Coturnix japonica: one gene and its partner. The protein of the gene in region 1 interacts with the protein of each later gene in a biochemical or structural test. Links are inferred from orthologs where the notes say so. Each region holds a gene or a part of one and is shown on either strand. Other genes may lie near its edges.

What was found.
Region 2: the proteins of COPG1 (region 1) and TMED10 form a complex in vitro, tested with the Homo sapiens proteins (2 studies listed by BioGRID). The link is inferred for Coturnix japonica from reciprocal best matches to the Homo sapiens genes COPG1 and TMED10.

What each region holds. Positions count from the first base shown.
Region 1 is NC_029527.1:6,774,931-6,778,611, forward strand, and holds part of COPG1 (coatomer subunit gamma-1), read left to right. Parts: intron 1-114; coding exon 115-190; intron 191-407; coding exon 408-511; intron 512-617; coding exon 618-743; intron 744-1,138; coding exon 1,139-1,207; intron 1,208-1,559; coding exon 1,560-1,702; intron 1,703-2,699; coding exon 2,700-2,871; intron 2,872-3,681. UniProt on the Homo sapiens protein: The coatomer is a cytosolic protein complex that binds to dilysine motifs and reversibly associates with Golgi non-clathrin-coated vesicles, which further mediate biosynthetic protein transport from the ER, via the Golgi up to the trans Golgi network.
Region 2 is NC_029520.1:34,645,151-34,648,964, reverse strand, and holds part of TMED10 (transmembrane emp24 domain-containing protein 10), read left to right. Parts: intron 1-750; coding exon 751-871; intron 872-3,814. UniProt on the Homo sapiens protein: Cargo receptor involved in protein vesicular trafficking and quality control in the endoplasmic reticulum (ER) and Golgi.

The DNA of each region.
Region 1 (3,681 bases):
CTGTATGCTGGATCTAGGGTCTCTGATGTGCCATTGGATCACAGCTCAGGGACGGAGGAAACTTCAGGTGATTTCTTTTGTATCCTTATTCTTTTTTTATGACTTATGTTGCAGGTGCTGTGAGTGCCCTGGCCAAGTTTGGAGCCCAGAATGAGGAGATGTTACCCAGTATCTTAGTGTTATTGAAAAGGTGAGTGTCACTTAATGTTACAGGGACAGGTGGGTTATTTGGAGACCGGCAGAGCAAGGCTACTGCTAAGTTGTGCTTGTAATTAAGCTTAAGTATTACATAATAAGTTATAACATTAGAATGTGATGTATTATAACTTATTATATATAATAACCTGGATTGATTCACGTGGGCCCTGCTGCCTTGTGCTGAAGCAGGTTTTCTGCTTTCTTCTCAGATGTGTGATGGATGATGACAATGAAGTAAGAGACAGAGCCACGTTCTACCTGAATGTTCTGGAGCAAAAGCAGAAAGCCCTCAATGCTGGCTACATCCTGAACGGTAATACAGAAAGTCCCCAAAGCAAGACTGCACCTCTCCTGGTTTAATACATGCCAAAGAGATGGCATTATCTGCGGTCTCAGGGACTTGTTCCTTCTGTCCCTAGGTTTAACAGTGTCCATCCCTGGCCTGGAGAGGGCTCTACACCAGTATACTCTGGAACCCTCTGAAAAACCCTTTGATTTGAAATCTGTTCCTTTGGCAACAGCTCCAATCATCGAGCAAAGAGCAGGTGAGAATCGGTCTGTTGTGTGCTGATCTAAATTGCTGATAGTTCCCTGGCAGATCCAGCCCTTGATCCAGCACTGGCCTTGCTGGGAATTGCTGAGATCCATCCTCATCGAATTCTGTGGGATTATATCTTCTGTAAAGACAAAGGCCAGCAAATCTTGTTACTCCCACTTTAGTGTTTCAGTTAGTCCAGCTGCTAATAATAGTAATCGTTTGAATTGCAGTAGCTTCAGTGAGGATTACCAGAGGTATTTAGGAAGCTAAAAATGGGTGCCTGCTCTATGGCAAGATGAGAAATGAGCTCTCCTTTGCTTAGTCGATGATCTGGTTTCTGATTTAGTTACTATTCCTGGTTGTATTTGATTGTTTCATTGTTCTGTTTATTTTCTCTTGCAGAAAATGCCCCTGTTGCTGTAGCCAAACAGCCAGAGAAAGTGGCAGCAACACGGCAAGAAATATTCCAAGGTAAAGTGATGCAAGGCCTCTCTTACCCCTGTACATGAGAACTGTGTAGCCTCTTCTAGCTGAGCCTGCCTGTCCACTCCACTTTTTCCCTGTCTCCCCTCAAAGAGTGGCGTGGGCATCCGAATCAGTTGTTTGCTTTTGGGGATGCTTGCAGTAGATGTGGGCAGTTGGCAGATGTGTGCTAAAGGAAGATGAGACTGCCTTTAGTTTTAGAAGTTCCTAGCAAATGCTGGGCTGCTCAATGGGTGACTATTTGCTGCAGCAGCTTCCAGCTATTTAACTGAAGGCTTTGAGAAAGTTAACACTTTTCGGTGGCTGGGGAAAGCAATTGTTTCTACATCTTCTGTTTCAGAGCAACTGGGAGCGATCCCAGAGTTCCGGGGACTGGGCCCGCTCTTCAAGTCTTCCCCAGAACCTGTTGCCCTAACAGAGCTGGAAACAGAGTATGTGGTTCGTTGCACCAAGCACACATTTGTCAGCCACATGGTGTTCCAGGTGAGTAGCTATGGCATGTGGTGCCAAAAGATGACTGGAAAATAAACTCCTGACCAGTAAAAACTTCACTGCAAAGAAATAGCTCAAGGATATCTGTGTTCAAAGCTCATTGTGTAGTGGGTCCTTAGGTTCTCACCCAGAGCAGAAGAGCCTTGGGAAGAAAAGATAAATTAGTGTGCATGTGGTTTTGACTGAACAATGCATATGTGTGCAATCAAAGTGACAATGGGATAGGCACTAGGTGGGGCTGTTCTCATGGAAGAGCTGGCAAAGGAAGCTGTGTTATTTCCTCAGGGTCCCCAGGTGCATGTTTTGAACACAAAAGAGTGAAGCCTGTCGTATCTGGGAGGCTGAAAATGTGACCTGACAGGATGGGAGAGGGTTCTTAATTACCTGCATTTTGTTTTAGCCTATTTATTATAGGTGCTTATTTTTTTGATCCAGCCTTAGCTGGATCACCCTCCTGCTGCAAGGGAGTTGTTCAAGCAAGGCACCAGCCTCTCTACTTGGCCCTCAGGGAGTTCAAGCAAGTCTTGTGCTACCCTGTGAGCAGCAGGGTTTTGTTTCTTTCTCAAAAGCTCAGAACTGCTCACACAGTCCTCAGAGGAGTTAATCTTTGTTTCTATTGTCCACTTGCCAGAAACAACTGTATAAAGTTGAGTGATTTGTCACTGCATTCAGTTCCAAGTATAACTATCAGGTTTAGATCTGCTGAAATCACTGTCTTGTTTCCTTAAAAATATGTGTATATAATATAAAAACAAGTTAGTGGAGAACTGGAGTCCTCTGAAAGTTTTTAGCTTCTCCCCTAAAACATTTGGATGCCAGTTCCACTGAGACTAAATGGAAGCATGAACCCTGTGATAGCTGCACTCCCTGCTGAGACAGAGGCACTTCACAAGTTAACACCATGCTCCCACTGTGCGTGAAGTGAATCTGCTCTTACATCTAGAGCTGAGAGCTTCAAGCTGTCTTTGTTCTCTCCTTCCCTGCTTAGTTTGACTGTACCAACACCCTGAACGATCAGATCCTGGAGAATGTCACTGTGCAGATGGAGCCAACAGAGGGGTATGAGGTCATTGGCTACATCCCTGCCAAAAGCCTGGTGTACAACCAGCCAGGCACCTGCTACACGCTGGTGGCACTGTCTGAAGAGGATCCAACAGCAGGTAAACAGTTTGTGCTCTGTTTTCCATGATATTCCCCCAAATTAAGCATACCGTATTGCTTACGCCCACATGCATTCTACCTTGCAGATATTTATAGACTGTGTGTGGGTGCATCCCTGAGTGATGCCAAGCATGACTTCTCCTTGCTGCTTGAGGGCTGGCTGTCAGGCCTCCCTTCTCCTCCTGGTTCCCTTGTGTTAAAACACTGTTGGGCTGTGGCAACTGGCAGATGAGCACTCAGATCTCTGCTGAAATGTCTTTGTTGCACCCTGGTGTGTCCTTTAGCCTGCTCTTAGCACACGGGGAGGCGAGTAGCTGTCTGCTTTGCTATGATTTGCCATGAGGGCACAGAGTACTCAAGGAGCATTTCAGACAAATGGCCAGAATTCCAGGGCATTCCCTTGTTTGTCACTGTCAGAACATAAACCAGGCCCAGTCTGTGCTTTGATTGCTGGCTTGTTCTGAGGCTGCTCACCTGTGTGCTGCTGCCCTTCATGCAGCAGTGCCTGCCTTCAGAGATGAGTCACTGCTTCCTCTCCCAGCTGAACGATATTAATCATCTGCTGTGCTGCAGTGCAAGGTGGTTTCATTTCCAAGGTGTATGAACTGATCCCTAGATAAGGGTCTCACCTCCTTCACAAGAGGTTGATGGGACACGCTTAGTTTGTATTCCCAACACAACTTGATATTCATGAGTAACAGGACTTGATCTGAAGATTATTGTGCAGCCATCGGGAGTCTGTATTTATCACTGTTTGCTGGCCCTAGCATTACAAATAAGTACTTTGTCCTTGAGAGAAAGAAGCTGTC
Region 2 (3,814 bases), on another chromosome or scaffold:
TTATCCATCAGAAGGTTCCGAATCCTAGGAGGTGGTAGGCCTCTGTGGTACCCTCTGGGGAGTTCATTAGGTGCTCAGATAGGAAAACAGGAGTGTTTCCTGAAAATCATGTTAGGTGTATAGCCTTTCTGTATGGTATAGAAATGGAATATGGCTGTCATTATTCTGTCCGTGCAGTCTGAATTGTCCTCTGATACATCTGATGGATGTTGGCACCCAGACCTCGTGTAACTCAGGGCTGCACTGGTCATTCATTTCTAGAGAGGTAGATGTGCCTTTCGCCATCTCATCTTGTGGGGAATCACTCTTTCTTGTCCCATAAGGCTTCTCTGTATTTGTTACTATGGGAATTAATAATTTTTGCTTGCAAAACGAAGGCAGTAGTTGACACTTCATAGATCCAGAGTTCCTAAATGTTGTCTGTATTCAGATGTCATAAGAGGAAAAGAAATCAGTGTGGTTTTCAGTTTGGGGTTGGGTTTCTTTTTGTTGTTATGTTTCTTTTTGTCCGTTTTCTATATTTGTTTTAACGTAACAGTCAGTGATTGCCTGAGATGCACTCTGTCAGCTCACTGAGGATGAGTAGGAGAGGATTTGATGTAGTTGCCAGGAAGTAGGAAAAGTGTGAAAAGCAAAGTATCTGATCCAAAAGGGAGGCTCAGAGAACACTTCTCGTGCTGCCTAAACTCAGTAGTGTGAGCCTACAGCAATGAAACGCTGCATTTCTTACCCTTGTTATCTCTCTTACAGATAACTGACTCAGCGGGGCACATCCTGTATGCTAAAGAGGATGCCACCAAGGGCAAGTTTGCCTTCACCACTGAAGACTATGACATGTTTGAGGCCTGCTTTGAGAGCAAGCTTCCTGTGGGTAAGTGAAAGAACCATTGGCTGCCTTCACCTTCTGATGAAGTTTGTGTAGATGTGGATGTTTGGATTAGTGGTATGTATAAAGTCACTCTGAGCATAGTCTACAGAACATGTTGACTTCTAAAGCCGTGTTTCATGAGTTTGTGTGTATTTTCTGCAGTGCAGAATATCTGCTGTCTGTGTTGCATTTGGAAGTTAAGTATTCCTCTGTGGCTGTTGTATAGAGTGCTCAGGTTTCTTCTGTTACAGGCAGAAGAAAGGGGAATTGTGTGTTCCTCCTACACAGGTTACCACAGTTGCTATGAATGGTGGTAGCAAGGAGCAAAACGCACCTCTCTTGTTCTTTTCGTGGTTCTTGCCATCCTGCAGTCAAGCAAAGACAAAGCAGAATACCCTCGTCTCCAGGACGTAGCTTTTCTGTCCTGTTGACCCACTCCCCTCCTTTGGAGGAATGTAATCTCAATAGAATGAGTACTTTGCAGTGGTCCTGTTAGGATAGCAACTGTTTTCTGGAGTTCCTGTGTGTGTACAAAAGAACATGGCCTTAGTTTGCACCCATAACTGCCGAGCGGTCAGTAAAGGGAAGAGGAAATGAGCAGGACGTCAGTATTGCCTTTGTGCTGCAGGGATGGTTGCCTAACGAGCACTGAGGCTCGTTTCCTTTGAGCATGACGCATGTGCTGCTTTGAGTGGCTGGGCTCAACTTCAGGACAGATGTGCTGAAAGCAGCTGACATAGGCTCCAGTCTCCTTAGCTTTGAGTAAGTATGTGCAAGATTGTAGGTGCTTGCATCTTCCCCCAGTCACTGTCAGAGTTCTGCTCCCTGGAGCCACTTCTCTCATGTCTTATCTTGGAAGATCTCAAAGTTCTTTATGGAGCAGTCACTAGCAGCATTCCTCCTGTCTCTTGAAATGCAGTATGTATTTTGCTGTTGTGTTCCATTTATAATATGCAAATAGTTTGCAAACTGAAGAGAACTTTTCAGAAACAGAAAGGTATCTTTATTAAGAGGCATCTGGCTTGTAGCACCTCTTCTATCATGTTTGTCAGATAAAACTGACTCTAAATGCTCAGGGTTCTGCTTTTATTTCACTGTGAAGATAGGGCTTCTGAATGCTCCTTAACGCATCAAGACATGCAGGTACTAGTGACTCATGTGGGAGAGTCGCTCCTGCTCTGTACTGTCCAACACCTGGGTGTTTGGGAGGTCCCCAGACAGACCAATAAATCCTTTCTAGCTTCTATGGAATCACACAATGAAGTGGGAAAAGCTTCTTTCTTTAGCTGTGTCTAGACTCTTTATTTTAGTGTTTGTGACCAGGGGTTTCTTGCCTAGACCGGATAAAATATTTCTAAGTCCAGCTTCTACTTGGTGACCACTGGGGGATCAGAATGCCAAAATCTAGAGCTGTTCAATTCAGCAGCTGGATCCTCTTCCAAAGGCTTTCTCTTTAGGTCCCTCTGAGCTACTGGTTTCTTTTTTGGACCTGGTGGAGGCCATAATCCTTGCTAGTGATACATACTGTATGATGGAGATCTCCCGATTTTCCATGCCTGTGTTGGATATAACAAAAATGCTGAGGACAGTGTGGTGGCACTGTAAGGCCTGACCATCTGCAGGACTTGTTTAAGTTGATTAGGAGGAGGAAGTAGCAGTGTTACAAGTACCTTGTTCCTTTATAATGTGAGCAAAGGAATGAGGCGGCTGACTGAGATGTCTCTTCTCCCTGTGTTTCTTTTCAAAAGCTTTTATTTTTTCGTAGTTTCTTCAAGTAGGCAATCAGGACTTTTAGTGCTCCAGCTAAGGAGGATGTTGGTGGAGTACTGGAAGAGGAGAACTGTTGATAGAGGAAGCCTGGAGCCGTTGGGCCCTGAAGGATCTAAGCAACTGGGATTTCTCAATCCTTAACCACAGAAATAAGGAAGAGGAAGTGAGAAGGAGATGCTGTATAGAAGGTACATATTATGAGAGTGCAGGAGGTCTGAGGGTGCTTCTTGAATCCAGACTTACCCTCTTCTGGTTTAAAACCATTGCTCCTTGTCCTGTCACTACGCTTCAGGGCAAAGAGGCCTTCTCCATCTTTAATTTTTTGTTCATTCTGTAATCTTTAGTTTCCTGACCTCACAGTTATGACTTACTTATTCTACCATTTCTCTGCAAAACATTTTTTACATCCAGTTTGACTATCTTGTTCATCCTTTGACTTGGTACATTAGGAACTTCCTTAGTCTCCCAGGAAGCAGCTCTGTGCTTGTTTGAGATGGCCACTTGAGGACCCTGAAGTGGGAGATGTGGGTATCAGTTGGATAGTTTAGTTCAAGACCTCTGATAGTTACTGTTTGTTTTTCCTTTGCTCCTGATCCTGCTTTGCTCTGGTGAGCTCCAGCTGCAGGAGGAGCAGGGAGTTACTGAGGATCTGATGAGCTTAAAGGAAGCTTCTTGTTGTGCCTTATACTCCGATCACTTCTAGAAGTGCAGCTTCAGTTTTTCCAGGGCAATCCCTGACAATGCAGAATGTCTCCTTTCCATCCCTCTGCACCCAGCAGCTCTCATTTTATCTGCTTGCTTTCTGCTTCTTGGCATCTTTTCCTTCCAGCCTGACAACTGAACCCTTCCAGTTCTGTTCTCCTGCTTGCTGGCCTTTTCATCTTTCTCATCCCTTCCTGGAAGCTCCAGCTGTTCACTCAAGTTGCTGTAATTTAAACATAAAAAAACCCCTCTCACTGAACTGTGTGCTTTGAATCTTTTTTCTGCAGCTACTGTTGGCCACCCTGCCTAGAGACTCCAGGCATGCTGATATAAGGCATAGGTAGTCAACGCTTGTTGGCTGGAGAGAGGAGCACTGGGTGGTTGTAGTCATCGTATCTGCTAAAGAACAGTGCTGGGTTTTAAGTTTGTTCTTGCAGTAACTGACCTTGAATAAGAAAACTGAAAAGTTCCATC